Diceros bicornis minor: one gene and its partners. The protein of the gene in region 1 purifies or fractionates together with the protein of each later gene. This does not show direct contact. Links are inferred from orthologs where the notes say so. Each region holds a gene or a part of one and is shown on either strand. Other genes may lie near its edges.

Region 1 (10,190 bases):
ACAGTTTTATAATTTTGCAGATGTCTTAATTTCTAGCTTAACAGCAGACAGCTAGATTTACGTATCTGCCTCTCTTGCAATATGGGATTTTGGGTGAAGTATGCGAAGAAAATCATACATAGTTAGAAAAGGGAGGGAATTTTAAAAGCCTTTTCAAATAATCATAGATATTCTTCTTTGATACTATACCAAAACTCAAGAACAAGTGGTAGTTTCTTAAAGGTTTTTTTTTCAGGGCAAGATTCATCCTAAGCTAACATCTGTTGCAATCTTCCTCCTTTTTTCTTCTTTCTTCCCACCCAAAGACCCAGTACAAAGTTGTGCAGAGTTGTAAGTTCTTCTGGTTCTTCTATGTGAGCCTCCACCACAGCATGGCTACTGACAGACAGTGGTGTGGTTCCACGGCTGGGAACCGAACCCAAGCTGCCAAAGCAGAGCTCACAAACTTGAACCATTAGGCCATCAGGGCTGGCTCTTAAAGGTTATTTCTTAAAGGTTAGAAGCAATGTGGAATTGGAAACTACACCAATGAACTTTCTGTACTCTGTTACATTAAATCCATTCATGTATCTTAGACTCAGAATGGATCTTTTAACAATACCTGATTTCATAGTATCATGCATCGGTCATTTGGAAAATACTGGTTAACAGAGTTATGTAGATCTTCCAAATAGTGACCCATTTACTATACAGTATCAAAAAAACCCACATTTGTTAAGATCACCACTCATCACATCAAAAGCTTGATTTTATTACGGGCCACAAATACTATCAGTTGTTTTCTCTAAATGACAGGCTCACTTCACTCATTTTCCAGAAAATGAATGCCCAATACCTAAGGCTGCATAACAATACTTTGTCACACATTTTACAAACAGTGTTCCATGAAAAGAAGCAGACAGTTCAGCCTGCAACTCAATCATATGAGTGTTTTTCCTGAGACAATCATATTTCATATGCTTTATGCATACTTCCCATTCGTCACACAGAATATTAAAAAGATATATGAACAAAGGTCTGGAGTTAATAAAATTAATAATTTTTACTGCTCCATCAAGGATACTCCAAAGCAAAACTGACTTTTTTTTTAACTGTTAGAGTGTGACAGAGAATATAATGTTTGGGTCTGGTGCCCCTCACTTGATTAGTGCTAACAGCAGTTTTACCCACCACTGCTTTGGCACGGTCAGCACAAATGTCAACATAGTGAAAAACGAAAATAACGTCTTAATTTCATTATGAAAATGGCTTTGACCTTGGGGACTTCCAAGGGTTTGCAGACCACACTTTGAGAACGACTGCCCTAGAGCAATGGTTCCCAAACAAGACACTCCAGGACAGAGTTTTCACCAAAACATGGTAAAAGGTGGAGGGGGGGCGTGTATAGATCTTTTTTCAAAGCCAAACCTACTAAATATAAAAGACTGCTCTTTATTCTGGGTATGATCTGCCTTTCTTTGGTATTAAAATATCCCTTCTTTTATAAAAAGAAAGGGGAAATCAGACGGTAGTTTGATGATTGTACTGTTTTTTTTAATGTCATTACTTGGCAAAATAAAGGCTGGCCACCCTACACTAATTCCCAATTTTTTAAAAACTCAATTGTCCTAGGGTGCTCTTCATCAAACAATTAATGCAGTCACCTAGATGCTCTGACGCCTTCCTACAAGTTCCATAACTAATTCTCCAGAAAATAACTGGAAAGAATATGCCGTGCCAAAATACATTTCAGTCAATCAACAAACCAAACCTTTAAAAAATAACAGCGTCCAGGTAGCCTAGTAGATTAGCAAATTTATATGAAACATGTTTACACGAAACACATGCCACTAACAAGACCAATTGTTAAGCACCTTAAAAATCTCTCCAGGGGCAGGCCCTGGGGCACAGCAGTTAAGTGCGCACGCTCCACTTCAGAGGCCTGGGGTTCCCAGGTTCGGAACCCCCAGTGCGAACCGACCCGCCGCTTGTCAAGCCATGCTGGGGCAGCGTCCCATATGCAGTGGAGGAAGATGGGCATGGATGTTAGCCCAGGGCCAGTCTTCCTAAGCAAAAAGAGGAGGATTGGCAACAGATGTTAGCTCAGGGCAGATCTTCCTCACAAAAAATAAATAAATAAATAAATAAAAAATCCCATGCCAAGGATGTCTTCAATTGTACAAACTCCACAACAAAAATATGTAAAACGGATAGATGTGACAGTGTGTCTCACTTCCTCACAAGCAAAAACAGAGGTTTAACTAGATAATCTTTAAAGTCCCTTCCAGCTGAGACTGGAATCAGTGTGATTCAAAGTTCCAGAGTTAACTGATGCATGTGTGGTCCTAGAAAATTAGAAAAAGAACGCAAACTAACTTACATATTCAGAAAAATACCTTAAAGTACCAAAAAAGTTAACAACCAAGCCAACATAAACAATATACAAAATAGTACTCGCACCAGAAGATTATTCCACAATTCAAGTTTACTTCTGTTAACTAGTTCCACAGTCTCACTACAGATAGATAATCTGCACTGCAGTTCCAGGCTAACGTGGCAGAGGGAGGGGTTTGGGTGTGTGTTTTTCCAAATTAGATGTATTCTGCCTTCTACAGAGAGGAATACGAAAAAAAAATTGAGAGTTACAGAAAAGACAAAGGAACCACACCTAATTTTATTTGGGAAGGGTGGGTGGAGGAAGACGCATACACAGCGTTCTGATACCAACAATAAAAAAGAAAAAATTAAGCCCATAGTGAAATGTCACAATAAAACACTATTGAATCAGTTAGACTCAAACTAGAGAGAAGTAGACATTGCAAAGTAGCAGAATTTGCTGAATTTGCGGCAGCTCTGCCCCAATGAATTATTTCCGAGAGAGGGTTCCACCCTCCCTAGCTAAGGCAAGTTATTGCATCAGGCGCCCGTGCAGGAGAAACCCGTTCGGGGTTTACTACTAGGTCACGGATCCCCGGGGTCCTATTCCAAGCTTTGGGCTCCAGCTGACTGGGCTCCAGTGAGAATCCATTTGAAATCACCTTTTTCCTGTCCTCTCCAAATTCTGATATCCATGCTGTGCCCCAAGAAAAGGAGGCCCGTATTAAATCACCAAGCCCTCCAGCCCATGCAACCTCCCTCCTTTCCGCAAAAGCAAATTGCCAAATGTTCCATACGAAGGAAGGATGACTTCACCGAGTAACTCAGCAACATGTACAGTTTCCCAGGTTTACCATCTGAAAGCTCACTCATTCCAAATGGCCCTTTCGGAACCCAGAAAAGATGATATGAGCAAAGGACGATGAACTCACATCATTAGGGGAAAAAAATTCAACACCTCCCCACACCCACGTTTCAACTATTTTTATTTCCTCAGCCGATCATTCAGCTAACTAAGCACTGAATGGAGGAAGACCTCAAGGAGCAAACACTATTCAAAGCATCCTGAAGACTAAAAAAGAGAGTCTGGCTGTATGAAGAGCGAACCGGCAGCTTCGGCTCATAACTGACCGGGAACCTCGCCACCCACGGTGTACAAAGAACAGAGCTGAAAGTGGAAAACTGAAGCTGAGGTCACTGAGCGAGGACAAGAGGAGACCCACAGGGTCAGAAATCCCAGCTCCATCGGAGACAGAAGAGGCGCGGGCAGTAACAAGGAATGGGAAAGGAGAGCAGAGCGCGAGGGGAGGGACGCAGGATGTCGAAGGGGATCGGAGGAGTCACCTAAGGAGAGGGGAGCACGGGGTCCACGGGAGGAAGGTGGCCGGCGCACGCGGGAACGGGGGTCCAAAGTGGGGGAGGCGAGGAAGATGCCAGGAAACCAAGGGCTTCCAGGGGATGAAGGAGAAGGGTAACCGGCGAGGTGCAGGTGCCCGGGGAGGAGAGGGAGTGACCTGGAGGGGACCAGAGGAGGAGGGCCGGGAGCTGAGAGGAGGGCGCGAAATGCCGGTACCTGCTGGCGCACGGCTAGCCTGAGAGGAGCCAGCACCTCCTCAGCGCCGGCGCCGTCCATGCTGCTCCGGGAGGCGGCGGCGGGGAAGGAGGTCGGGGCGCGCGCGGGCGTGCTGAGGGGCCGGCGGGGCGGGGGCGAAGGCCGGGCCGGGAGCCGGGGCGGCAGCGACAGCAGCAGAGCGGCGCGGGCGGCTCTAAGCAGCGCCGGGCGCGGAGAGGGCATGAGCCGGCGGCCCGGGGCGGTGCGGAGGGGGCGGCGGCGGAAGCGGCGCGCGCGGCCCGGCCGGGAGCATGATGAAATCGCCGCGTAAACGCCGCGGCGCGCGCGCAGCCGCACATTCCCCACCCCGCGGCGCGGCGCCGCGTCGTCGCCAGCAGATTCGACACGAAACCCCGGGACGTCCGGGCATCCCTCGGAGTTCGGAGAAGGCTTCCTCCACCGTGGGCGCCGGAGAGGGCTAGGTGGTCTCAAGTACCCCCCTGCAAACGGATTTGCACAAAGAGGCGTCAGGCCACTCCACTAGGGTGGACATTCAAGGACGCAGCTCCACCCGAGGCATGCAGACCGAGACGCACAAGGACCTTCAAAGGCATAGGCTTCTACACCGGCACTGACTCTCGGGCTGACCCAAGGGAAGACACACTTCTGTTTCTGTTCTCTGGCCCGTGAGCCTTAAAGGGTCATAAAACGTCAAATCAGTTAGGGACTTAGATTCACTCTTGCTCGAGCTCAAATGTTCGTTCCTCAGATGAGGAAACAGGTCAAGAGAGGTTAATGATTTGCCCAACTTCCTGGTTCCATGCCTTGTCAATGTCAAGAAAAAAGCTGGGGAAGGGAGAAGTGAGGTGCTTTATGGAGAAGGTCAATACTGAGCAGCCCTTGCAGGGCGAGCAGGATTTGAACCAGAGACGAGGCAAGACAAGAGGCAAAGAGAAGTGGAGGAAAGGGGAAGTGGAGATGAGAATCCAGGTGTGCGGGATTCCCTCTGTGTAACCTTGCCTCAGCTGACTCGCCTCTTGAGGTTAGGCCCCAGCTGAGGACCATCCAGGGATAGCTTCCTCCTTCCCTCGTGCCCCAAGGGTGGATTGGCTGGAAAAGCTAGATTCCCTTTCCAGAGAGGGAGTAGAAAAATAAAGAATGTGTTGGTTGTAGAAATAGCATTGTGCACACCCACCAAGGTGCCTAAAATGAAAATAATGGAAAATGCCAAGTGATGCTCTGGGACTCTCCCACACTGCTGCGAGGAGTGTCAACTGGTGCAGCCACTTTGGAGGACTGTTAGACAGTATCTACCCAACCATACACACCTTCCCTGAGACCAACAATTCCACCCCAGGAGTGTGCGAGAGTAGACAGGCTCATCAGGACGAAGTTGCCTTTCGCAGTAGTGTGGAAGTCCGTGTCACTTCTCTTCCTGTTTCAATTCGTGATTCTAAAGAAGTACTCACGGTTTAGCATTAGCGGGGCAGGTGCAGAAGAACCTTCTGCAACATTAAATAATTTGTATTTTTAAAACTTTTTATTTGAAGATCTGATATTTATTAATCATAATTTTTATTTTAGCAGGTAATTTTGAATTTATCTTAATATTTTTAAGTTAAATTATTGAATTTTTGTTTTTTGTTTTGAGGAAGATTGACCCTGTGCTCACATCTGTTGCCAATCTTCCTCTTTTTCATTTCCCCAAAGCCCCAGTACATAGTTGTGTAGCATAGCTGTAGAGTTGTAGCTCTTCTATGAGGGACGCCACCTCTGCATGGATGAGCAGTGAGTAGGTCCACGCCCGGGGTCCGAACCGCAGAACCCTGGGCCACCAAAGGGGAACGCAGAAACTTAACCGCCATGCCACTGGGCCGGCCCCTATCTTAATATTTTTAAATATGAAAAACCATTTTAATTTTTACATGTACTCTCATTTACATTTTTATTAAAACATTCAAATTCTGTATACTTTAAATACAATTCTATATATTTTTTAATTCTTTAGATCAGTAATGTCTCATCCGTGTTCATGTGAGGACAGTCCTATCCCTAATGTCCCAGTCCATTCTTTCCCCCCACCATTTCGTCCTCCCCACTGCGCCTCAGTGATTATCTCTAAAAGGCAAAGCTGTGCATGTTGCTCCTCTGCTCAGGAAACTCCAATAGGTCCAAATGGCCCTTAGCAGAATTTCCTAAGTGGTTTTCCTTAGAAACATCTTCAAGACAAGGATAATAGCTTATATTTGTTGAGGGCTTACTATGTGCCAGTTAGTGTTCTAAGTTATCTCATGTGATTTATTCACCAATCCAATGAGATAGGCTCCATAATAATTCCCATTTTACAGATTCAGGATTCAAGGCATAATACATTAACTTGTCCACAGTCACACAACTGCTAAGTGAGTGGAGGACCAGAGTATGAGCTGGGGGCAGACGTGGTTTTACCATGTAGCTAATGAGGCTAATGTGGATGCAAATAATCAATAACCAATCTATAGATAAGAAAGATAAGATGAGATTTATTTGAGCCATGATGGGGACTAGCCCGGAAGTGCAGTCTCCACCAGGGAAGAAAGCACTCCAGAGAAGCATGGTTTATAGCATGATTACATACCGTTTCAGAACAAAGAACATACATCAAGCATGACAGCAATACATTTTTTTCAAAGTCTTAAGGAGATATTTTGCTGCAGTTTTGCATGTATGGGTCAACTTGACCCTGGTTTTGTTACCGGACCAAAGTGAGTCCGCTCCTTGGCAAGTTAATCAAACTGCACCAGAAGTAGTGTCACACAAAGCTGAATTTTATTTATAGCATGCAGCAAACAAAATGGAGACCATGGGGAATAATCTCACAAAGCTATGGCTCTCTGAGCATGGGGAGTGGGTGCCTTTTATTTGGGGTAGGGGATGAATATGCACAGAGGAAGCTTTGTCTTGGGGCATGCATAGATCTCCCTTCTTACACGCAGCACCTTCTGCACACATCTCCTTCTGCCCACTGCCCATCTCCACTGCCCACCTTTTGCACATGTCTCCCTCTGCACATGGCACCCCATCGCCAGCTTGGATCTTCCTGGTTTGGCTCGGTTCTGTGGTTTGCCATCTGACAACGTTCTGTCTCAATGTGTCACCTTAGTTCCTATAAGCAAGCATAACTTCAAAACAAAGTGCTAGGTATGGAAAGTTGTTTTAAGGACATCCCAACTACTTTGGCGAACTATTAACTGCTAATGGGAATTTTGTTTTTTAAGCAACTCTTTAAGTAACTCTTTAAGCAACTCGGGGCAGTTAGCTGGTACAGTTTCTGGGAAGGAAAGCTTATCTTCAAAGGAGTACTGGTGTTGACGTCAGAGGAAGGGAGGCATTCATCCCTGTCTTCAAAGAGTGCATTCCTTGCTTTGGGATAGTGTGTAAAACCAATGTACAATGCATGTTTGACAGGCCATAAATTAGGCTACTCTGGAAAAAACAAGTTCAGGCCAAATCAGGTGTAAACCAAAATGGCTTGCCCACATACCTCAATATGTGAAAATTTTCTTATTATTTTCATTACTAATGAAGGTTTAAGTGAGCTTCAGGACCCCTCATTTCGATGGGCTCTTTCAAGGCCCTGCAAGAGGCCCTAGCATTGTACACATATGGTCATATGTTTTTCTTTCTTTCTTTATTAAAGTTCTTTATTTGAGGAAATAAAATTTGCATTCACTGAAATGCACAGATCTTAAGTGTACGGTTCAATGGGTTTTGACAAAGGAGTACCCTCTTATAACCCATACCCCAATCAAGATAAAGATAAAGAACACCCCACCAAGTTCCCTCCTGTCTCTTCCTGGTTATCCCACCCCCCACAACCAGGCAACCACTATTCTGATTTCTTTCCTCTTAGATTAGTTTCTTCTCTTCTAGACCATGGTATAAATGGAATAATATAGTATGTACTCTGTGTCTGACTTCTTTCGTTGAGCATAATGTCTGTGAGATTAATCCATGTTGTTTGATGTATAAGTAATCCATTCTTTCTATTGCTTAGCATTATCCCATTGTATGAATATGCCATAACTTGTTAATCTACTCACTAATTGATGAATATTTGAGTTGTTTCCTGTTCTGGGCTATTATGAATAAAGCTGCTGTAAATATTCCTATACATCTTTTTTTGTGGACATATGTTTTCATTTCCCTTGAGTAAATACCTAGGAGGGAATTGCTGGATCAAAAGGTAGATGTATATTTAGTTTTATTAGAAATTGCCACAGCTTTTTCCAATGTGGTTATACCATTTGCAACATATGAGATTCTAGTTGCTGCACACCCTTGTCAACATTTGAGGTTGCCAGTCTTTCAGATTTTAGCTATTCCAGTGGATGTAGTGGTATCTCATTGTGGTTTGTTTGTTTTTTGTGAGGAAGATCGGCCCTGAGCTAACATCCATGTCCATCTTCCTCCACTTTATATGGGACGTCGCCACAGCATGGCTTGACGAGCAGTGCGTCGGTGCGCGCCCAGGATCGGAACCTGCGAACCCCGGGCCGCCAAACAGAGCGCGCACACTTAACCACTTGCGCCACCGGGCCGGCCCCGTCATTATGGTTTTAAATTGCCTTTTGCTGGATGACTAATGGTGTTGCATGTGCTTTCGTGGCATTACTGGCCATTTGTAAAACTTTTGTGAAGTGTGCGTTCAACTTTTTGGTTCATTTTTCGGTTCATTTTTCATTGGGTTCTTCACTTTTAATATTGAGTTGTAGGAGTTTTACAAATTCTGGATACAAGTGCTTTGCCAGATATATGTTTCATGAATATTTTCTTCCAGTCTGTGGCTTGCTCATTCACTTTGTTAATCATTATTTTTGATAAGCAGAAAGTTTTTATTTTGATGAAGTCTAATTTATCAATTGATTTCTTCTGGGTCCTAAAAAATCTTTGCCTACACTCAGATCACAAAGATATCCTCCCACATTTTTGTGTTTGGTCTGTGATCCATCCTGAATTAATATTTGTGTACAGTTTGAAGTCAAAGTTCATATTTTTCCCACATAGATATCCAGTTGCTCCAGTACTATTCGTTGAAAAGAAGAAAGGCTTACGATAAATTACTGATTTCACCATTGATCAAGTATGGTGCTTTTGTTGAAAATAAATTGACTATGTAAGTGTGGGTCTATTTCTGTGATCCCTATTCTGTCCCACTGATCTGTGTGTCTATCAGTCTTTCTGCCAGTATCCCACTTCCTTGATTACTACTGCTTTATAGTAAGTCTTAAAGTCACGTAACGTACATTTTCCACCTTTTCTTCTTTTTCAAAATTGTTTTTGCCTATTTTAGGTCCTTTCCATTTCCACATAAATTTTAGAATTGACTTGTCAATTAAAAAAAAATACCTGTTGGGATTGTGAGTCTATAGAACAATTTGGGGAGAATTCATAGCTTAACAACACAGGCCTTGGATGTCTTTCGTTAAATTTATTCCTAAGTATTTTATTCTTTGACTCTGAGGGTTTTTTTTGTTTTCTTTTTTTTTACCACACACCTGTGCCCAACTGACTCTGAGTTTTATTTTGTTTTTGTTTTTATTTTGTTTTATTTATTTTTATTTTATTTTTTTCCCAATGGTTTGTTTCTAATGTATATAATTGATTTAGTATAGTGATCGTGAGTCCTGAGAGTTTCACTTATTAATTTTAGTAGTTGGTTTTTGTTGTTGTTGTAGATTCCTTGGGATTTTCTACCTTAATAATCATGTCATTTGTATAGAGAATATTTTACTTTCACCTTTTTAATCTTTATGTTTTTTTTTACTTGCCTAGTTGTGTAGTCTAGGTCATCTTGCACAATACTGAAAAGAAGTGGTGAGAATGAACATCTTGCCTTGTTCCTGATCTTAGAGGGAAAGTGTTCACTGTTTCTCCATTGAGTATCATGTTAGATGTAGAATTTTTAGCAGATGCTTTTATCATGTTAAGGAAGTTCCTGCCTATGCCTAATTTGCTTAAAGATTTTGTCATGAATGGGTGTTGAACTTTGTAAAAATGCTCTGTATGCATCTATTAAGATTACCATAGGGTTTTTCTCCTTTATTCTCTCAATGTGGTGAATTAAATTGTTGGATTTTCAAATGTGATGTCAACCTTGCGTTGCTGGGACAAACCCCACTTGGTTTTATCCTTCTTATATTTTGTTGTATTTATTTGCTGATATTTTGATAAGGATTTTTGCCTCTATGTTCATGAGCAATATTAGCCTATAATTTTCTTTTCTCGCAATATCTTTGTAAGA
Region 2 (10,447 bases), on another chromosome or scaffold:
TGAAGTCTTTATCTTAACAGTAAAATAACCTATATACCCTCTTATCCTTCCTTATTAGCTCAAAACAGAGAAACATTCCACCTACTACTCCCTGAACCAGCCTCTCCTATTTGTAACTCTTGATAAGTGATTCCTCAACTTTGTAAATACTTTGTTAATATCAAAGTATTTTAAGGATCCTACACAAAGGGGGTTGAATTTTTATTATCCAATGATCCAGAACAACTTTTATTCAATTTACAGATGATGCTTAAGGTATGAATCAACCAATGGACATCCTGTAACAACTTCACAGCTTACAGATCAGGAACCGCAGCTCTAGAACTCAACTTTTCACCTCTATCAGGCACCTCAGTTCCATGATACTCTCTACTTTGTTGGTATACTTGCCCTCCTCCTCAACACAAACTCAGGTCCTTCTGCCTTCATACATGCAAGTTGTCTAACAATTTCTTCATAGCCAAATGCAATTAACTTCTCTCTGCAGTACTAAACATGAATGACCTTTTTCTACATTTGCAGACTCTGCCCAAGGCAGTATACTACTTTGGAACTCTTCTGTCTCTAACCACTGTTTTTATGGCCGCTTTTCCTGGCACTTCTACTTCTTCTTTCAAACCCGCTGGCAGTAGTTCTCAATTTATTTCTAACTCTGTGTATTGTTGGGTAATATATGCCATCAATGATATCTCTCACAGTGTACTAGTTCTCTACAAGCTAGCACTATTCCTCAACATAAAAGTCCTGCCTTATTATCAGAACATTCCTAACCTAATCGGTCTCTGGATTTCTATGCACTCCACTTGGTCTCTAACATGGCAACAAACAAGGATTGTGTATTATCACCCACACCTGTTGCATGTGTATTCGGTTTCTGCCAATCAGGAAGCAATTCACTGAAGGCAATTCCTTTGTTTTAGTCATCTGTCCAAAGGGCACAGTGCAAAGTATAAAGCCATCATTTCATTTTCTAGGTACCTGAAATGTACAGTCAAAAATTCCCAAATCACAGTAAGAGGACACTATTTTGCAGGATGCTAAATAGGGATGAGGTGAAAGAAAGGTTCCATAATTAAAGATCTAAGAAATACTGGGTTAAACAAAGTTAACAGAAGAGGTTTATCTGCAGAACTTCCTAGAACCTTTAATCTTGCTAATTGTGAATCTCCAAAAGCAGAATTTCCCAAACTTGTGTGTTATAAAACTCTTTCCCATCTTCTACTGCTCATTACCAGCACTTATGAACTTCTCCCGTTCCAGGGAACACAATTGAGAAAATGCTTATCGAGCAATTAATTATCTTCTTTCACAACTACTTTATATCCAGTATGATTTCTAAGAATATGTTAATCGTACTGGTTTTATGATTCATCCAAGCAGCCAGTCTCAGCATCCCTCAATTACCCCCAAAGTCATTAGACAATATAATTACAAAACTTTTTAAGGATTCATTTCAGGATACTTTTAAACTGCAAGCTGTCTCACTGCTTTTAACTATGACTTCATTTGCAAAAAATCCATTTATATACACCATCGATCAGAAGGGTATAAGCCCACATTTATTTAAAAAAAAAAGCAAAATATGCTAAAAGGTGTGGGTAGCTTAAGTGACTTTTTTTTTTTAAAGATTTTATTTTTTTCCCCCCAAAGCCCCAGTAGATAGTTGTATGTCATAGCTGCACATCCTTCTAGTTGCTGTACATGGGACTCGGCCTCAGCATGGCCAGAGAAGTGGTGCCTCAGTGCGCGCCCGGGATCCGAACCCGGGCCACCAGCAGCGGAGCTCACGCACTTAACCGCCAAGCCACGGGGCCGGCCCTAGCTTAAGTGACTTGACACCAGCTCACCAAAGCCAAACGTGAAACAGATAAAGGACAAACTTTATTCCAAAGAACCAAGAATAAGAAGAAGATAAAATAAATTTGAAAAATAGACATACTATTCTTCTCTGGAAGATTCACAACGTTTATTAGCACATTAAAGGTTCCAAGAAGTCCTCCAATAAAAAAAGCCAGTTCAACACTGTTTAACCTGTTGCTCCTCAAATTTACTTGACCATAGAATCTTTTTTTTTCCTAATTAACATTTATTAACATCCCAATACAACCTGGCAAACATTATAACAGTTTCATCACTATATCCGATTGGAAAAAAGCATATCACAGAATTATTAGCCCTCATTCTTCTGCTTCAACATTTTGCAATGTTGCAACAAAATAATCTTTTAGAAAAACTTCAATAGGCAGCAGGTAATCAGAAGGTAAACTTCTAACTTTTCCCATCTAATCCCATTCTCACTCAACTTCTCTGCCTCGAAACTTTCAATGATTAAGATGTGGGAGGAAAATAAAGACAAACTTGTCTTCTCAACAGTTAACTTTCAGAGTTTACATACGAAAGGAAATATATTCTGGACCCTACTCCTGGAACCATGCAAAACTCTGGTCTGGGTTAAAAACAGGACCTTACAAATGCCTCAAATACCAATTCTTTATTTATTGGTTGTAACCTGTTTCCTCAGCAGTACAAACTGTGGAATGGGGATGTTGGCTATGTGAAAACTCCCAATGTTTAGTCTCCACCCTAAAAGCCTCACCCTTATCATCGGTAGTCGCATACCTCACCACTCAGGAACAGTTAATTACCAAATAAAGCACGCTGGGGATTAACCAGTTTGCAAATTCACTACTTCACAGCTGCAAACTAAATTATGTGTTTTGCACAACTGCTCTACTAACTAGACATAGCAAAAGTATTACTGATTCTAAAGTCAGCTCTGCTCTAATAATTTCAGCAAGCTATTTATAGGTGTTTCTGTTTTTGTGTTTTTTTTTAATCTACTCTAAATTTAAACCTGCTCCTCATTTTCAGAAGCTGAAATTAGCATAAAGTTAAATACAGGAAAAATATACACTAATGAGATAAGCCACTCCTGCTCAGTTCTTCTTACAAAAGGCTAAAAGAATAAGTTTTCCAGACAGCTCTAATTCTATCACAATCATACTTCCCTGAAAAAAGTGTTCTTTCTTCCATGGGTAAGGTCAGTTGTAAATTTCAATAAGAACGGTAAGAATACAATTCTTTTTACTGACAATGACCAAGTTAATACCAATTTTAGAGCATATCAGTCATTTCAGATATAATTCTGACGACAATCCCTTTTAACTGACACTTTTAGGTAATATTAAAACGAGTTAATCTCAAAACATGGAATAAAAGCTCCCAAACTTTACGTCTTAACTGTTCTAGGTAAAACATTTGTTAAACGTTAGACAAATATTGTTCTTAGGTTAAGTGTTTTAAATGAGTGTATATGCAAGTGAGAAATGATGTATGATCTACCGCCACGGTCACTTCCGGACTTCTCCCACCAGGGGTCAGGTCTAAACCCATTCGCCAAGTTATTGATTAGCAATGGTTTCTGTTGAGACGGGGGTGGCAGGAAGTAAGATCATGTGTAATGCCATTGTCGTAGCTATAGCTATAGTTCTGTTTTCTATTGGGCCTGCCCGAAAGAAAGCAACTAAAAATAAATATTTTAAAAAGGTAAATCCTAGAAGAATGCAAGATAAGTTCAAAGAGACCTCACCTGATGTTCCACAGGTTGCCTCCCTCACCTGGTGGACTCTTGAAGACACTCCCCTCCACACCTCACTTCCCTCTATTCTTTTCCAATACAGACATTTCTCTTCCCTCTTGGTTCTCTCTCCACGCAAAGCCGCAGCCTTGGGCTACCCAGATCCCCTCTAGGGCCCGCTCTCCTCTCAGGTGCCCGCCTAGGTCCACTACACCCCCTCCGACTCGCAGAGGCCGGCCCCTGGCCCCAGCACCCTCAACCACTGCGGGACGCCCCCCACCCATCACCCAGACTTCGCACCCTCCACACTCCCGCTCCAGCCCCCCGCCTCCGGCCTAGGCGGCGTCCTCAGCACATCCCAGCACCGCCTCGCAACACGCCCCCCGCCCGCGGCCCCCTTACCGCACATGATGCAGGCAGCGCGGTCAACAGGACGAGCGGCGAGCGGCTGGCGAGGTCGGGAGCGTACACACGAGCCCGCGGGCCGATCGGCGGACCTACGGGACAGCGAATAGCCGACACGACTCCCTCGGGGATGCGACGGCTGAAGCAACCACAGCCTTCTCGGCCTCCCGGGCTCGACAGCAACTGCCGCCGGGCCCCGCCCCTCGGCGCGCACCGCGCCGCCGCCGCCACCGCCCGCAGGTCTCATTGGGCCGTGGCCGCGCCGCTCACGCGCAGATCCCGCCTCCCCGCGCCGCCCCGCCCCAAGCCCACGCAGGCGCTGGCCTGCTGGCAGCGGAGACGTGGCACCGGCTCGTGGCCGCATCCGCCTGAGGTTCCTGGAGCCGCCCTGGCACCCCGGCGCGCAGCGGGAGAGACCGCGCCGCGGCGGAGGAAGAAACTCGGTGGCTGGCAGGGAATGACGGAAGAATAAGGAAAGAGGAGGAGGGAATTGTTAGCAAAGCAAATAGCGTTGGGGGGCGCGCCTAGTGCAGTCCAGGGCCCCAGGCGTCGGTACCCCACGAAGCGGGGAAAGGGGAGGAGGAAAACAGGAGACCTAAAAAGGGGATCCTGGGGGACAAACAAACAACTCAGGGTGGAAAAGGGGCATAAGGCTGAAGAAAAATTGCACAAAGAATTGAGTGAGGTGAGGGGAAAGAGGTCCCAAAATTCTCACTGCAAAGCGCCATTCAGGTTCGGCCAGTCTTTCTGGTGACAGGCAATTCAGTTCCCGACTTAAGCTCTGTTTAATATGCTTGGCTTCTAAAAGCCCTCTGCACCCCATTCCCACCCCCATCCGTTGCCTCCCTAACCCTCAGTTTTTTGCAGAGGGGGAGGGGTGGGTTGTAAGGCTCAAGTATCCAACATTATGCGCCTGCCTTTGAGAAACTTGGCTGGCCCGGATTTCTGATGGCCCACCCGAGATGACCGTAGGAAGTGCCTAGATTTGATAGCCTGACGTTTGACTCATAAACGATTAATTCTATGAATTAATGCACCATGCCTGCCAAGAGAGACTTAATCAGAGAGAGATGATGTTTCTGAGAATTTATTACCTGAGCATTTGCTTTAGGAAGATTTAAATGGTATCTTTAGTCAAATGTAGATGTTTATCATAACTCTATTAATGGCTCTAAACTAGAATCAAAGCAAAACTTGCATGGCATACAGAAAACGGCATGGACTTCTGACCCCAGATGTCTGGTCTTACCTCACACTACTGCTCTCTTCCTACCTCACCTTCTAGCCCTTTACACTCCAACAATGCTAAACAGTTTCCCAGCTGGGCCAACATTCTCAAATCTTTTGCACACATTGGTTACTCTTTGTGGAATCCCCACCCCATCTCTCCTGAATTGCCACCTCTTGGGGAAAACCTATTTTGTCTCCCCAGACAGACTTAAGGATATGCATTAACCTCTCATTCTTTGATCTGCCCCTTTTAAACAATATGCTTCGATATTTTATGATGTTTTGTGTATTTTCCTACTAGGCTATAAGTTTCTTGAGGCTAGAACAAGTCTTTGCATACCAAACACCTAGTATAAACCCTAGCACAAAGTAAGGGATCAAAGATGTTTCGAATGAGTAAAAAAAGCCATATGTTCTTAGGAGAATTGACTTTCTATGGCTGGTTATATGATCAAGTAAGCAAAGGGCTTTTCAGTTTTTCTTAGAGTGAAAAAAATGCCTTTTTATCACTGGCCTCAAAGAGAGGCAGGAAAGTGTCACATTTAACTAGTCAAAGTATTTCTCACCCGAAAGCCCTTTAATATTTCAGGCCTTTCAACAGGTCCCTAAATCACCCAGAGCAAAGTTAAAGAACAGTGAGCTGTTAACAGACAACACATTTCTTAATTCAAGAGGCAAAAGGCTCTGGGGATGTACATCTTAGCCTCATCTAAGAGGTTCTGGTAAGACCTCAGTGATATTGCCAAGGAGTCAAGGTATGATTCCAATGTTTGAACACCACCTTTGTGCAGTGTCAGCAAACCTGTCGATGCCACAAAGAGAATGCCAGCAGTACCACCCAAGTCCTCATGCTCAAAGTAATAATCTGTTGAACCCCTTGCTTTCTTCTGCTGCTTGTTACTCCACCATGACTATCAATTTGTCTTATCCATCTCCATTCTACAGCTATTTTGGAAGGGGCTTACGCACAAGTTGAGAGGAAGAAAGTTTGAAGGCCAATATTTTCCCAACCCAACCATGAGCAACCTCACTAACCCACTGCAACAAAGAGCCCTTTGTAACCATGTGCCAGTCAAGACACTGATACAGAAGAACTTTGACCCCTATCTATAAGGAGCTTTGCCTTAGCTGGACCTTTGGGAATAAGGGCTGGAGGAGAAAATAAATGATCTGTGAAGGACAGGGGACATCTGGGTCTACTTACACATCTGAGGAAATGGAAAGGATTTTCTCTCCTGATAAAAGTTCTGAACTAACTGAAAAAAAAAAAAAAAGTAGTGATGGTAAGAGGATGTCATTCTTCATCACCTCTTTTGTAAGTCCATTTCCCTGTTCACAAAATCAGTCCTGTCAAATCTGATGGCTCTCAGCCCCCTCTTGGCCTTGCAGCCTGATGGAAGGCCATCAGGGCTTCCAGTTGCCATTTCTAAAGAAACGTAGAATCATAATTGAAATAGCTTTATCAGATTTTTCAGTGTCCCCACATTTGTGATTTTTTGTTATCGCTTATCTGAATTCCAAAAATAAACAGCAATAAAATTATTAAAATAAAAAAGGTCTGGGTACAAACTTCCACTTATAAATAAGTCCTAGGGATGTAATGTACAGGATGGTGGCTACAGTTAATAATACTGTATTGTATATTTGAAAGTTACTAAGAGAGTAGATCTTAAAAGTTTTCATCACAAGAAAAAAAATTTGTAACTGCGTAGTGATAGATGTTAACTAGACTTATTGTGGTGATCATTTTGCAATATATATGTCTATCAAGTCATTATGTTATACATCTGAAACTAATATATGTCAGTTATATCTCAATAAAAAAGACCTGTGCAAAACAAGAAGGTGGGAGTGGGAGGAGTTGGTCCCACTTTTTAGGGAGTTTGTGGAGAAATGTACCACAGTGGACAGAGAAGATGGTGGCAAGTATCAAAGGAAAAAGAAGCAGGTGGAGCCAGTAAGGCCTCTGAGAAGAAAGAAATGAGCACAAGAACAAAAGGCACCAGTCAAGGCCTCAGAAAGACTCCTTAAATGAATCCCTTTGCTTCCACCACTACCCCAATTCATCCTATACACCTTCACACCAGAGTGACCTTTCAAAAACATAAATCTGATCCTGTTTCTCCCTGCTTCCAATTCAGTGAGTACCCTTTACCTGCAGGATTAAGTCCAGACTCCTATGCACACACACGGTTATTCAGGAACTCATTCCTGCCAGTTTTATCAGCATCATCACCCACCACTCTATTCAAGTATCTTATGGGCTAGCTATACTAACTACTGCCAGTTCCCTAAAAAAGAATGCCATCTCAAACTTTTGCATCTTTGCATTTGCCTCTTTTTGAAAGGAAACATTAAAAAGGGAACCAGTTGTTAAATAATCAGGTCTTGACTATAGAGTACTAGATAGTCACTCACAAAATGGGATTATAAGGGGACCCTCGTCCAAAATTACCTCTACACCTTACCTATCACCTTGCCTAAACTTTACCTGTATGCATGTATTTAATGCAGAACACATCCCCCTCCCCAGGAGACCTACATTAAGTCATTATCACCTATTAACACTTTAGAATGAAACTATTTATAGGATTACTTTTCATTTGGATACCAAGTGTGAAAAGGTCACCAAGGAAATGCAAGTTTAATGGGGCTAAAGATAATTCTGAAATCAAAAGCAAGGCAGACCTGGACAGATTACTTTGGTTGATGACACTGGGCAAGAAAGGGAAAATATAAGGGCATGTGGAATTGAGTATTGGGAGGGAGAGGGGGTCAAGATATGGAAAAAGGAAACAGAAATAAGTTGGTGATGAAAGCAAACTTTACCCACTGTAATGGTTAATTCTATGTGTCAACTTGGCTGAGCCACAGATATTTGGTCAAACATTATTCTAGAAGTTTCTGTGACAGTGCTTTTGGATGAGATTAACATTTACAACGGTGGGCTTTGAGTAAAGCACATTGCCTTCCATAATGCAGGTGGGCCTCATTCAATCAGCTGAAGGCCTAAAAAGAACAAAAGACTGACCTCCCCAGAGCAAGAATGAATTTGCCAGTAGAACTGGACTTGGACCACAACACCAGCTCTTCCCTGTGTCTGCAACCTGACAGCCCACCCAACAGATTTTGGACTCACCAGCCTCCATGACTGCATGAGCCAATTGCTCAAAATAGATCTCAATCTCAATCTCTCTCTCTCTCTCTCTCTCTCTCTATCCTATTATACACACACACACACACACGTATGTATACATATATACACACGCATATACACATATGTATACATACACATATATATGCACGCATATATACACATATGTATACACATATATACGTATGTATGTACACACGTATATATGTGTACACATAGATATATATACTATTAGTTTTGTTTCTCTGAAGAACGCTAATACATCCACCTAATGTTGATTTTATTGATTTCCTCAATGTTGAATATATGTATTTGTTTTAAATTTCTAGAGGATAGAGCTTTCAATTACAAGTAATAGAAATCCACTCAAACTAGCTGAAGAAGGGGAGTTATTAGCTAATGTAATTGGAAAAGACAGGGATCCAAACAGCTTCAGGCATGTCTATATCCAGGGACACAAACAATGTTGTCATAACTCTGATTCTCTGACCTCATGGACAAGGAAATGACCTTCAAACAGCTCTACAATGACATGTTTACAGCTCACAGTCCAAGAGGACAGAGGCTTTTCCTCCACCCTCACGTTTTCTATTCTAGGCACTGATTCTGATGGGTCCAGTGTGAGTCATATGCCCCCCTCCTGTGGCAAAGAGGGCAGGACACTGTGATTGGACAGTTCCACCACATACAGTAAGCAAAAGATAGCAGTTCTTCAAAGAAAGAGGAAGGTGTTGCTAAAAGAATGAAGAAGGGACACCAAAAGATGTCCACTACATCAGGTAAACATGACCTTGATTGCCCCACCAAGAAACCTCAGGCTTGAGAACAGACGATGCTGACTCCAACTGGAATTAACACTCTCCAATACGCCTCCCCTAAGTGGCTCCAAATTTTCCCAGTAGCAGAACCTGGGGCAGAGTTTTCTAGCTCGGATTGAAAGAAACTCATTCTACTGCCAACAAATTGTCAACAAACTGGAAACCATGAGATTAACTGGTCCTATCCACTACTTCTGTCCCATAGGGTATGACTGGAGCTAGAATAGAGATGGACTGTTCATGGAGCTGCCTAGAGCTGAAAGATCACTAGAAATGTAAGGTAACAGAAAAAATACTACTTTCTAAAGTTTCTTTCAGGGAATACAGAAGTCATGTCTACATAGCCTGCAAGCACCCTGTGGAGTCATCATAGATAACTCTGTTGTGGGGAAATGGGGTATAAGGCTGAGGTTTCTCAAAGGGAGGTAAATTTCCACTGGACTAGAGACCAGCTAGCTTTATATTGCTGCATAAAAAATGGACACACATGCACTGCTTTGGCCCATGATAGTCTGGAGCAAACAAAAGATGGAAAAGATTTTTGCCCACTAGAAAGTAGCACCTATGAAGACAAAGAATGCTTCTCTCCTTCCTCAGGTAGGAATACTCAGGAGCGGTATGTGGGTCCAATTCCCTTAATGCAAAATAGTATAGTAGCAATGTGCATAGGGTCTGCAACCAGAATGCCAGGGCTCATGTCCCTGGCTTTTCCACTTAAGTTGTATGGCAACAGAATATGTACTTCTCCTCCCTGTGCCTCATGGGGACAATAATAGTTACCGTTCTCATAGGATTAAATGACTTCATAAATATAAGGTGCTTAGAATAGTGTTTGTTACATAGTGAATGCTCAACGAAAGTTTCCTATTTTTATGTATTTTGCTCTTTATCATTCTGTGTAGGGCTTCATCCTAATTTTGGTTAGTAAAAAATCCTCCAAGTGCTTGGTTTACTCTTGGCCAATAATCTTAGTTTCAAATACCGAATGAAACATCCCTTATTTATAAAGTGTTTTGAATACTTCATGTAAAAAGATCTTATACATTTTGGGTGGCTAATTGAATGATTACTTTCTTTCTTTGGGACTATCTCCGAGGAATTTAAGTATAATTTAAATATTCAAGTGGCAGGCCCGGTGGCATAGCGGTTAAGTTCACATGCTCCGCTTCAGTGGCCTGGGGTTTGCAGGTTCGGATCCCGGGCATGGACCTACGCACCACTTGTCAAGCCATGCTGTGGTGGCGTCCCATATAAAGTAGAGGA
Region 3 (10,505 bases), on another chromosome or scaffold:
ATTTTGGATCGTCAGCTCTTGTTATAACCTCCAGCCTTTCAAGGACAGAAAGAGGTGTTGGTCTGCGCATTTACTGATTTACTAGGGGTCCTATTGGTTCAGTGACTACATTATTAGAGGCCACCTGAAACTTACGGGATTACATTTGAAGACTAATAGATCTTTAGAGATCAACACATTTATTTCTGTCACTTCTAATGCTCCTCAAGGCTGGTCCTATGATCACCAGCATCTATAGGTGCTGACTGATCAGAGTAGACTCGCCAGCCCCACCACAGACTGAGGAGTCAGAATCTTTTAACCTTTTAATAAGATGCCAGGGGATTACCACGCACATCAAAGTTTTGAGAGTCACTATTCTCACAGTTCTGACCATTATTCAGGAATATCTATCTGACTTTTTTTTTTTTTTGAGAAAAAGAGATTTAAGCTTTCTGTGAAGATGGATCGAAACTCACATGAAATTTTCTAGGGAGCCTCTACTCTCCCAAAGATTAAGAATCATTGCATTATTATGCCAAACAAAAAGACCCACTGTAATGGCACTGACTATTCCAGGAAGAGCCATGTATCAGTGACCGGGCTATGGTGGCTGCTGAGGAGAAACAGCCCCCATGCATAAATCACAGGATTGCTCTGGCCCCTCATATCCACTGGAGAGCTGTACATACACAACAGCGTCCAGTAACCACAGGGCCCGTGTGTGTGTGTGTGTGTGTGTGTGTGCGTGTGTGTGTGTGTGTGTGTGTGTGTGAGGCGGGAGAGGAAGGAGATTAACTTCACCTCAGGGAAGCGTTCTCCTCTTCCCTCTTACTATAATCCACTCTTCCCTATTCCAGGACTCCTTAAGGCCTCTTTGCCTCAACTTCCTGTTCACCAATTTCTAGATACCCTCTTTGACCTTGTGTTTACCTCAACAGATCTTAGAAAAGCATTCAAAAACATTTTCATTTAAAATAAATCTCATGATCTTCCTTGCCATACTTGCTCCCATTAATCCCACTGTACTAGTAGTTCCACATTCCTTCCCATTAGCTGAAATTTCTGAGTCACCCTTAAATACTAACAGATGACCCCACATCCAATTGATCACCAAGTCATGTGGATCTGACCTCTAAATCTATTTCTCCGTTCCTTCTTCTTCATTCTCAGGTCTTCATAACCTGTTACATTAAGTCAAATCTAACCCCAGAGGTGGGTCCAACTCCAGCCTTTTCTCACTTTAGTTATATTCTTTTAACATATACTCCACAGATATACTTACACAAATGTATAAAATATGTGTACAAACATATTAACTGAAGCATTTTTTTTTCTTTTTTTTTGTGAGGAAGATCAGCCCTGAGCTAACATCCATGCCAGTCCTCCTCTTTTTCTGAGGAAGACTGGCCCTGGGCTAACATCTGTGCCCATCTTTCTCCACTTTATATGGCACATCACATGGCCTGACAAGCGGTGCATCGATGCACGCCCGCGATCTGAACCCGGGCCGCCAGCAGCAGAGTGTGCACACTTAACCACTAAGCCACGGGGCCAGCCCCTGAAGCATTTTTTCTGTAGACAAATATCTGAAAACAACTTAAATGTCCACGAATAGGTAACTAAAATAAATTATGGTACATCAATACCATGCAGGCATTAGAAATAAATCATAATAGATGCAATATACATATTACTTATACATACTGAGAAAGAAAAGAGCAAGTCACAGTTATAGCAACTTATACTATGTATATTATAACATCATTTTCAAGAGATTTAAAAAGTATATAGTATATTAAATCTATGTTTAAGTAATTCTGCATTTGAATTTAGAAGGCTACCCAACAAACTTAACTATTGCTACCAGCAGTGAGTAGGATTAGGAGAGGAAGGCACAAAAGAACAGATTTTTGTTACTTCATACTACTCTGTTTTGATTTTTTTTAAGTGTGTATTAACTTTATCACAAAATCTTTTTTTTTTTGGTGAGGAAGATCAGCCCTGAGCTAACAACCATTGCCAATGCTCCTCTTTTCGCTGAGGAAGATCGGCCCTCGGCTAACATCTGTCCCCATCCTCCTCTACTTTATATGTGGGACGCCTGCCACAGCATGGCTTGATAAGCGGTGCGCAGGTCTGCACTGGGCATCTGAACCTGTGAACCCCTGGCCACTGAAGCGGAGCACGCGCACTTAACCACTATGTGACCAGACCGGCCCCTATCACAAAATCTTTTAAAATAAAGAGAAAAATAAATATCATATATCCCACATACCACTGTAGATTAACCTTCCTAACGGAAAAGCTCTGAAACTATCATTTCTGTATTAGAAAAAAAAATCCAATGGCTCCTCACTCCCAACGGTATTCTGTACAGACTTTTCAGTGCAGCACTCAAGGCCACCATGATCTTACCCCAAATTACTACTCTTACTCCAGACCTTTACTCTTATAAAACTCAAGCTCCAGCTATATCACCCTCCTGGACGCTGCTGAGAAACATAACTGCTTTCCTGTATCAGGCAGGCCCTTTCTCCACAAACTCGAGCACCACTTAGCTTAAATGTACCTCCTCTACAAGGCTTTCGCCAATGCCCTCTTTTTAGAACTAATATCCCCCTCCCCAGAACCTGATCCTCTCCTACACACTGTGGCTTATTTGTGCTGCATGTCCCACACACTCTCCAATTCAACTGTAAACTTATTGCTGGCAAAAGCATTTTACCATCTAACCTCCAGTGTGTGCTCACACATGATAAGTGCTCAAAAACGTTTGTTGGAACAAATACCTTTGTCAGCATCCTTAGTTTCCATCAGTGATACTCCTACTCTCAGCTGCCTTTCCAATCTATCCCACTCCATGGGCTGCCCCTGGCACAGGATAGTGGTGAAGAGGACTGGCTTTGGAATTTGACAGTTTTGGTGCCACCACTTAGTATGTGAGCTATAGGAAAAGTTATTCAACATTTAAATCTCAATTCTGTCGTCTGGAAAATAAAGGTCACAAACATTCACAATGCTAATTCAACGGTAAGCGAAATAACGGCTATCACAGCTCACAGCAGTTGCGTATCATCTATGTAAGCCATTATTATTACTTCTTTGCCCACGAATTCCATTCTGTTGCTCTTGCCCAACCACTACACCATCTTTCCAAAAATACTTAGCTGCCTTCTCTTCCCTATAATTCACCGTTTTTTTAATAATTTTATTTATTTTACCCCAAAGCCCCAGTAGATAGTTGTCTGTCATAGTTGCACATCCTTCTAGTTGCTGTATCTGGGACGCGGCCTCAGCATGGCCGGAGAAGCGGTGCGTCGGTGCACGCTGGGATCCGAACCCCGGGTCGCCAGTAGCAGAGTGCACGCACTCAACCGCTAAACTACGGGCCGGCCCTATAATTCACTCTTTAATCACAAAGAGGATATATTGTCCGCCATTTTACTGATATTTACTTTTTAAAAGTTCATCATGTTACTAGAAATTTCTTAAATTAATTACTATACCTCTGGTTTCATCCTTTCTGAGCTCTCTGCAAAACCAGAATGCTAAAAATAATATTGAGCCATCTTATAAAAGACCCATCTTCTCTTCTGGGCTCATTTCAAACACCACTTCATTAAGAAGGAATCCATAAATTCCTAAGGCTGGAGACTACTTGCCCTCTCCACTTGCTCCTCACACACACCCTAAGCTGCAGCGACAACCGCGACCCCCCCATCTCCGGAATCAACACATTCAAATTCTCCGGGCCCCGGACTCACTCGCTCTCTCCCCCATTCTTACTCATCTTCTAGGCCCCAAACCAGCACAGCTCCCGAGAAGCCTCCTTCTCCACCTCCGAAGCCCCCTGAAGAACTCCTCCTCCCCCGCGCCGGCAGCGGGCGTGCACTCGGCAAGCCGCATCCACACACTGCGTGAGCCGAGCACCGGAGGCCGCGGCCCTGTCGCCGCGCTCCTCCGTGCGGGCCTAGGACTCGATTTCTTCTTCCGAATTTTTCCGCTTCCAAGAAACTTCGCCCACCTTCTGAACTTCTCCGGCAAGCTCCGTCACACCCAGTTCTCACGACCACCACGGTTTAAGTGCTACCACCATCCCAGTCCAAGCTGAGGAACTTCCGGACGGGGCGTACCGGAGGGCCCTGAGGGCAGGACGGGGTGACCTGAGGAACCCGGGGGCAGGACGGGGTGACCTGAGGGTCCCGGGGACAGGAGAAGGTGACCTGAGGGTCCCAGGGGCAGGACGAGGTGACCTGAGCGTCTCGGGGACAGGAGAAGGTGACCTGAGGGTCCTGGGGGCAGGATGGGGTGACCTGCGGACCCTGCGCTCAGGGCGGAGCGTACCTGAGGGACCCCTGAGCCGGCGCGCCTGGGAAGGAGCCGCGTGCGCGCCGCAGCCTGACGGACCGAGGTGATGCAACGCCCTGACAGCGCGGAGCGAGGAGGAGGGCACTGGTCCGCCCCGGCAAATCAGCGCGCGCCGCCCGACACCCGTCAACAAGCCGAATGCCGGTTGGTCGCGCGGGTCCCGGCCACGCCCACCGGGCCCCGCCCCGCGCCGCGTGCCGGGAAGGCGCCCGCCTGGTGGCCTCCGGAGGGGGGACTGAGTTGCGGGGACAGCGCCGGGAGGCTGAGGTCTGCATCCTGGCTGGGCGTGGCTACACGGGTGTTTGCGTTTGTCCGTGTTCCCCGCTGTACACTGTGCGTCACACCACGCGTGAAACGAAGCCAGCGACGGTGGCCTCAGTAGTTATACTGCGGGGCCGAGAGCACGCCGTCCCCAGGCTGCTTTCTTAGTTGACGGTTCCAGGAAAGAGCCCCCCACTACAGGGCTGTTTTCCAGCGTGGTGCAGACCTACACCAAATCACCCTGGGGCTGGCCTGCCGAGACTGTCTCTGCAGGTCCTGGGTAATTCTGCAGCACGCTAAAATTCCTGACCCGCCCGTAAATGCAGAGGCCACAGAACAACGTCTGGGAGGAGCCAAAGCCCTCGTGGTCAGTGGTGGTCCAGGGAAGCCTCCCCTGCTGAGTCTTTCAGTGCTACCTTGAGTTCTGGATTTTACTGCAGCAGTTACGGTAAAGGGCCATATGAAGAGAGAAAACAACACAAAAAGGAAGGAACTGCCTGGTAACCACTTTAAAATTGTTTTAGCATGTTTCCTGTAAACAAAATTAATTTGCTTATCTGCTTACTTAGCACTGCTGTGTGTCTGCCTGGCACCTTCCAGACCTGCTGGTTAAAAACCAAAGGGGATCTGGAGCCACACAAAGGACAGTAGACCTCAGGCTTTGGCGCCAGAGACTATGAGGGAAATTTTAGGCCTTGACAAATTAGGAGTAATTCTGTATGTAACTGCTTATTGTATCCATTAGGACAGAAAAATTTGATCTGGCCGAGAATATGTAGAAAGCACTTCTTTAGTAAGTTGAAGTAAGAACATTTTGATAGTCTGTGTAGCGTTCATTCAGTACTCCTGGTCTAGGAACATCCTACCAAGTGTCAGGGATTAGAGGAAGGGGTACTGTCCTTGTTCAAAGGGGTAACTCTCTGTTCAATAACTTAACTCACTTGAACATATATATTTAGTAGTTGTGTATCTTCAGCTTATTAACTAGAAGTACTTGGAGTGTGTTTTAAGTTTTGCAGTCCTCAAGTTGCTACCTTGTTTGCCACACTTTTATCATCTGTCCAGACAGCCTAGATTAGAGCAGGACAGAGGGCTCCCAGACAGATGTGTCCAGGGAAAAAAGGTGGGTGGGGATGACAGGTCTGATTATTTAAAACTTAGACTGAGAAACATTTTATGGTGCTGTTGGAAGGTATGAGAAGACTAAATCTAGAAAAAAGTTGACAAGTGAAAAGATTCTAGGAAAAACAGTTAAATGTGGTCAAAATATACTACTTGGATTAAAGAGTTGGATCCTCATTGTCAGAGTAAGAAGTCACTAAGTAATGTCTAAAACTGAAAAACCAAGAAATCACAGCATAAGCATGTTAGGTAGAAATATATCAGAGAAAACAGATACAATTACTGAAGGTGGTTGTATCTGCAGAGCAGGAATGGGGATCGGCAAGGTTACCTGATGTCACTTATTTGGTTTGGAGAAGGAAGGTGTGACATTTAAATATGGCCACAAATTCTTCAACACTCCTCCTACTGAGATGTGTCTATGTTCCCTCCCTGTGAGTCTGCCTGGGCACAGCCTTGAGTGACTGGCAGCATCTGCTGCCTGCTCCTGAAACCTACTTGCTATGCTGTGAGGAAACCCATGGACAGGCACTAAGTGAGGAGGCCGTCTTACAAGTGGATCCCCAAGACTTAGAGGCAACTTAAGTGCCCATCAACAGATGAATGGCTAAAGATGTGGTGTACACACACACACAGACACAACAGAATACTACTACTTAGCCATAAAAAAGATGAAAGCCTGCCATTTGCAACAAGACAGATGGACCTTGATGGTATTAGGAAATAAGTCAGAGGGAGAAAGACAATTACCATGTGATTTCACTCATAAGTGGAAGATAAACAAACAGAACACACAGATACAGAGAACAGACTGGTGGTTACCAGAAGGGAATGGGGCAGGGAGAGGGCCAAAGGGGTAAAGGGGCACATGTGTACAGTAATGGATGGCAACTAGACTTTTGGTGGTGAACACGATGCAGTCTATACAGAAGTCAAAATATAATGATGTACACCTGAAATTTACATAATGTTATAAACCAATGTGACCTCAATAAAAAAAAAATTAAAAAAAAAAAAGAAGTGGATCCTCTAGCCCCACCTAAGCTACTTCAATGACACTACATGGAGTAGAGATGAGCAGTCACTCACTACTGAGTCCTGACTAAACTGCTTATTTGTGAGTAAAATAAGTGATTGTTACTGAGGTGGTTTGTTATGCAGCAATAGATAAGAAGGTTTAAATGTAATCTACATCAAGAGAAGGTGAAACATTTGGATTATTTATCCTGCTGAGTGGTTGTTTCCATTCTCCCTGAAGTCTAAAGTCTTGAAAACACAGAAATCCCCAATGACTCTTCAGCTACTTAGTTCCTTGGACCCTGTTTATTCAAAAATATATGTACTGAGCACCTACTATGTACTAGACACAGTTCTAGGCAGTGGGGACATAATGGTTAACAAACCAGATGACATCCCAGCCCTCACCGAGTTTATATTTGATCAAGATGTAAATCAATACTTAATTTCAGATATACACATTGTGGCTCAATGATAATCCCTTGTGTCTATATAACACAATTTTGTACAGAGCCCAGTTTGACAGGAGGCTACATCTGTCTTGAATCTTAACCAGTTTGATTTAACAAGGTATTGAATCTGCTTCCCTATCTGGACTCAGGGTCTTGACTCCTGACTGTGACTACATATCTTTCAGACACTTGGGTTTTTTCATAAGCCTCTGGTCTAACTAGAATTTTGGGATTGATAGGCCTGCCTCCATCTGGAGGCCAAGGAAGGAAAACTCTGCATTTGGCATCCTTTTCTGGTCCTTACAGAATTCTCCTATGATGCTGCTCTGAAATGTCCTGCATTTCAGTTGGCTCTTCACCAGAACACAAGTACAGAACTTAGGGCCAAATTCATTCAACCTGGTAAATAAAGATGACAAAATGGAGGTAAGGTATTTTCAGTACAATCAGAGTAGCCTATAATTCACACAAAGCCTAACCTGGAAAATACAAGTGCTCTGACTCATATATTTAAAAAGGCTTTATGTAAACCTTGCATCAGAAGATGCCAATTAGCTATTGAGGATGGAGGGGAAAGAGATTATATACAAAAAGTATTTTGAGGGACTATCTTGTGCTTCATTTAAAAAAAAGTTCAGTTTTTTTCAAAAAAAGTTAATTTTTTGAAGTAATTACTTAAGAAGAAAGACAGAGGAAATCCATAGAAAATACAGCAACCAGAATGATATCCACCAGCCAGATTTTGAATAGTCTTTCACTCTGATTTTTCTTTCTCAGCTAAAATTATTTTCTGGATCACCCAATTTCCATAGGTGAGCCTTGTTCACATTCAGTATCAAAATCAATGCTGACATTTATTATTTTGGTTTCATTCTCCTTTTGGCATCTTTATGTTTCTTCCGACAATCCTAGAAAAACATAATATCAAAAGCTTTTGTTAAAAATAATTGTAAATCATTTTCAAGGTGTTCAGTAAAATTTAGCTTATTCTGTCTCAGGGTTGTGGAAACCATTTTGGAAATCCTCGCTTGGAATGAACAGGGAATATTCCAGCTTTTGGCTTTAAATGTTTACAATGGAAACTGTAATTCAGTCTTTCAAAAATCTCATGATTTCCTATTACTTAATGAGCATGGCTGGAACTCTGACCAGTCATTCAGTGGGGTCTCTCTTCAGTCTCCTCACCTGCACCACGTGTGGGTTGAATTAATCTCTAAGTTCCCTTCCAACACTATAATTCTGAGTGTTTAAATCATGTTCTCGGTTGTGATCCTTTCTGTCTTAAGTTTTATACTTTATTCCCATATTCTTACACCAGGCAAATACTAACACAAAGATAACACTGTATCTAATTTAGGGGACAATCAATATGGAGATACAATTACTCACCATCCGCAAGTTGTTTGTTCTGGCCTCCCAAGAATTCCTGCTAATATTACTTCCCACTCCTCTCCAGAATAAGTCAGAACCTACCAGGGGAAAATCAAAAATGACGAGGCAGCAAACTACCAAAACAGACAATATTCTAGTGCTGGCATTATATCAAGGTCTTCAATTCTAGTTAAGACCATTTTTTTCCCAATTTATGCTAATTTTCAAAAATATTTTGTTTTTTTACAGAATGAAAATGTAGAATTGCTAGGATTTTACTGTTTATATTCCATTTACTATTATGTAACTTGGTTTCTGTTTGTGTTAGGCTTTAAGAAATGAAGAGTTCACCAACAGCGTCAGAGTTTTCACATGAACTTTTAGGGTACTAAAAACTTAGGAGTTTTGTATGTCTAGCATTTAAGCAAGTCCCTGGAACAAAACAAGCCCTTGTTGATGCTAATGAGTGAGTGAGGGAGGGGTGAGTGGGAGCTCTCAGTCCTCCAGACCTTTACAAGTCAACATGCATCAGTTGAAAAGAGGGGACTAATCCACATGACACTGCAAAGGGTCAGAATTTTTCCCAAACAGTTCCTACTTGGACGCCTGTTACTGTATCAGAATGCACACTGCTGAGAGCTGTGCTATTACCTGTTCTATACCATTTAATCCAAAAATGGACTTACCATGAAGTCTTTCATCATTCTTAGAGAAAAAGAAAAATCTAGTGGTCTCTTTCTCAGGTAGTGATACTTCTCTGAAGTGAGAGAGAGCGAGATTGGTTGGTTAATTTCAATATTTAAGAAGAAATGTTTACACTGAAAATATAAATGAACTATTCCTTAAATATATCTACTTTGTGTTTTGCTCATTTTGCCCTGAGTTAAAGTGACCCCAACTCTCTCTCTATTCAACATTCTTTTCTTCTACCTGAAGCTTAGGTAACGAAGACTCACTTAAGTACGTGCTCCATCCTCCCCACCCACACTGGTTGATGATACTCTCACCCACCATTGCTACCTCATTTGCCAGTGTTTCCCATGAGAAACAGCCAGCCAGCCGCAGCATCCTCTCCAGACCAGGGGCTTCAGAGTCAGGCTCTCTCTTCCCTGTGCACAATCATATGCCCCACCCAGTGTATCCAAATCTCAAGGGGAAGGAAACACACTCCCCATTACAGAAAGGCTAGAGAACTCTCTAAAGGAGCTGAAGGAAGAAAATTAAGTTGTCTCGAGAAGATAGCTTGGAAACTGCCATAATATTTCTAAAGCATGTCTAACTCAGATTTTACAAATTATGAAATATACCTACACAGAAACAAATTACTTACCCAGGGCTGGGCTTTCTGTCATCTGTTTCTTCAGTAACATCTTCCTCTTCTGAACTGCTGTCTTGGAAACGAGGGGCTCCCTGCCAGGCAATCTTCCCAGGTTTCACTGTCTCAACTCTATAGGTCTCTATATCATATGACAATAAAAGATGACAGGATTGTGAACAACCAAGTATTTCTTTTTTTTTTTTTTTGTGAGGAAGATCAGCCCTGAGCTAACATCCATGCTAATCCTCCTCTTCTTGCTGAGGAAGACCGGCTCTGAGCTAACATCTATTGCCAATTCTCCTCCTTTTTTTTTTCCCCCAAAGCCCCAGTAGATAGTTGTATGTGATAGTTGCACATCCTTCTAGTTGCTGTACACGGGACATGGCCTCAGCATGGCCGGACAAACGGTGCGTCGGTGCGCGCCCAGGATCCGAACCCAGGCTGGCAGTAGCAGAGCGCAAGGACTTAACCGCTAAGCAACGGGGCCGGCCCCCAACCAAGTATTTCTGAACACACTCATTTGATTACTTTCACCATGCACACTTTTATCTAAATTTCCAATATCTTGATCATTAATTTAAAATAGGTAGTGGGGCCGGCCCCGTGGCACAGCG

The links.
Region 2: the proteins of GARS1 (region 1) and GFPT1 fractionate together in Homo sapiens (co-fractionation; 3 studies listed by BioGRID, with this or other methods). This does not show direct contact. The link is inferred for Diceros bicornis minor from reciprocal best matches to the Homo sapiens genes GARS1 and GFPT1.
Region 3: the proteins of GARS1 (region 1) and IARS1 fractionate together in Homo sapiens (co-fractionation; 3 studies listed by BioGRID). This does not show direct contact. The link is inferred for Diceros bicornis minor from reciprocal best matches to the Homo sapiens genes GARS1 and IARS1.

The regions. Positions count from the first base shown.
Region 1 is NC_080742.1:54,888,713-54,898,902, reverse strand, and holds the start of GARS1 (glycine--tRNA ligase), read right to left. Parts: upstream 4,166-10,190; 5' UTR 4,151-4,165; coding exon 3,929-4,150; intron 1-3,928. UniProt on the Homo sapiens protein: Catalyzes the ATP-dependent ligation of glycine to the 3'-end of its cognate tRNA, via the formation of an aminoacyl-adenylate intermediate (Gly-AMP).
Region 2 is NC_080751.1:19,012,014-19,022,460, reverse strand, and holds the start of GFPT1 (glutamine--fructose-6-phosphate aminotransferase [isomerizing] 1), read right to left. Parts: upstream 4,151-10,447; 5' UTR 3,987-4,150; coding exon 3,980-3,986; intron 1-3,979.
Region 3 is NC_080761.1:59,349,629-59,360,133, reverse strand, and holds the start of IARS1 (isoleucine--tRNA ligase, cytoplasmic), read right to left. Parts: upstream 4,417-10,505; 5' UTR 4,327-4,416; intron 3,176-4,326; exon of another isoform or gene 2,772-3,175; intron 698-2,771; exon of another isoform or gene 565-697; intron 1-564. Other genes in the region: NOL8 (nucleolar protein 8), read right to left, coding at 8,060-8,110, 8,592-8,671, 9,260-9,330, 9,904-10,030. UniProt on the Homo sapiens protein: Catalyzes the specific attachment of an amino acid to its cognate tRNA in a 2 step reaction: the amino acid (AA) is first activated by ATP to form AA-AMP and then transferred to the acceptor end of the tRNA.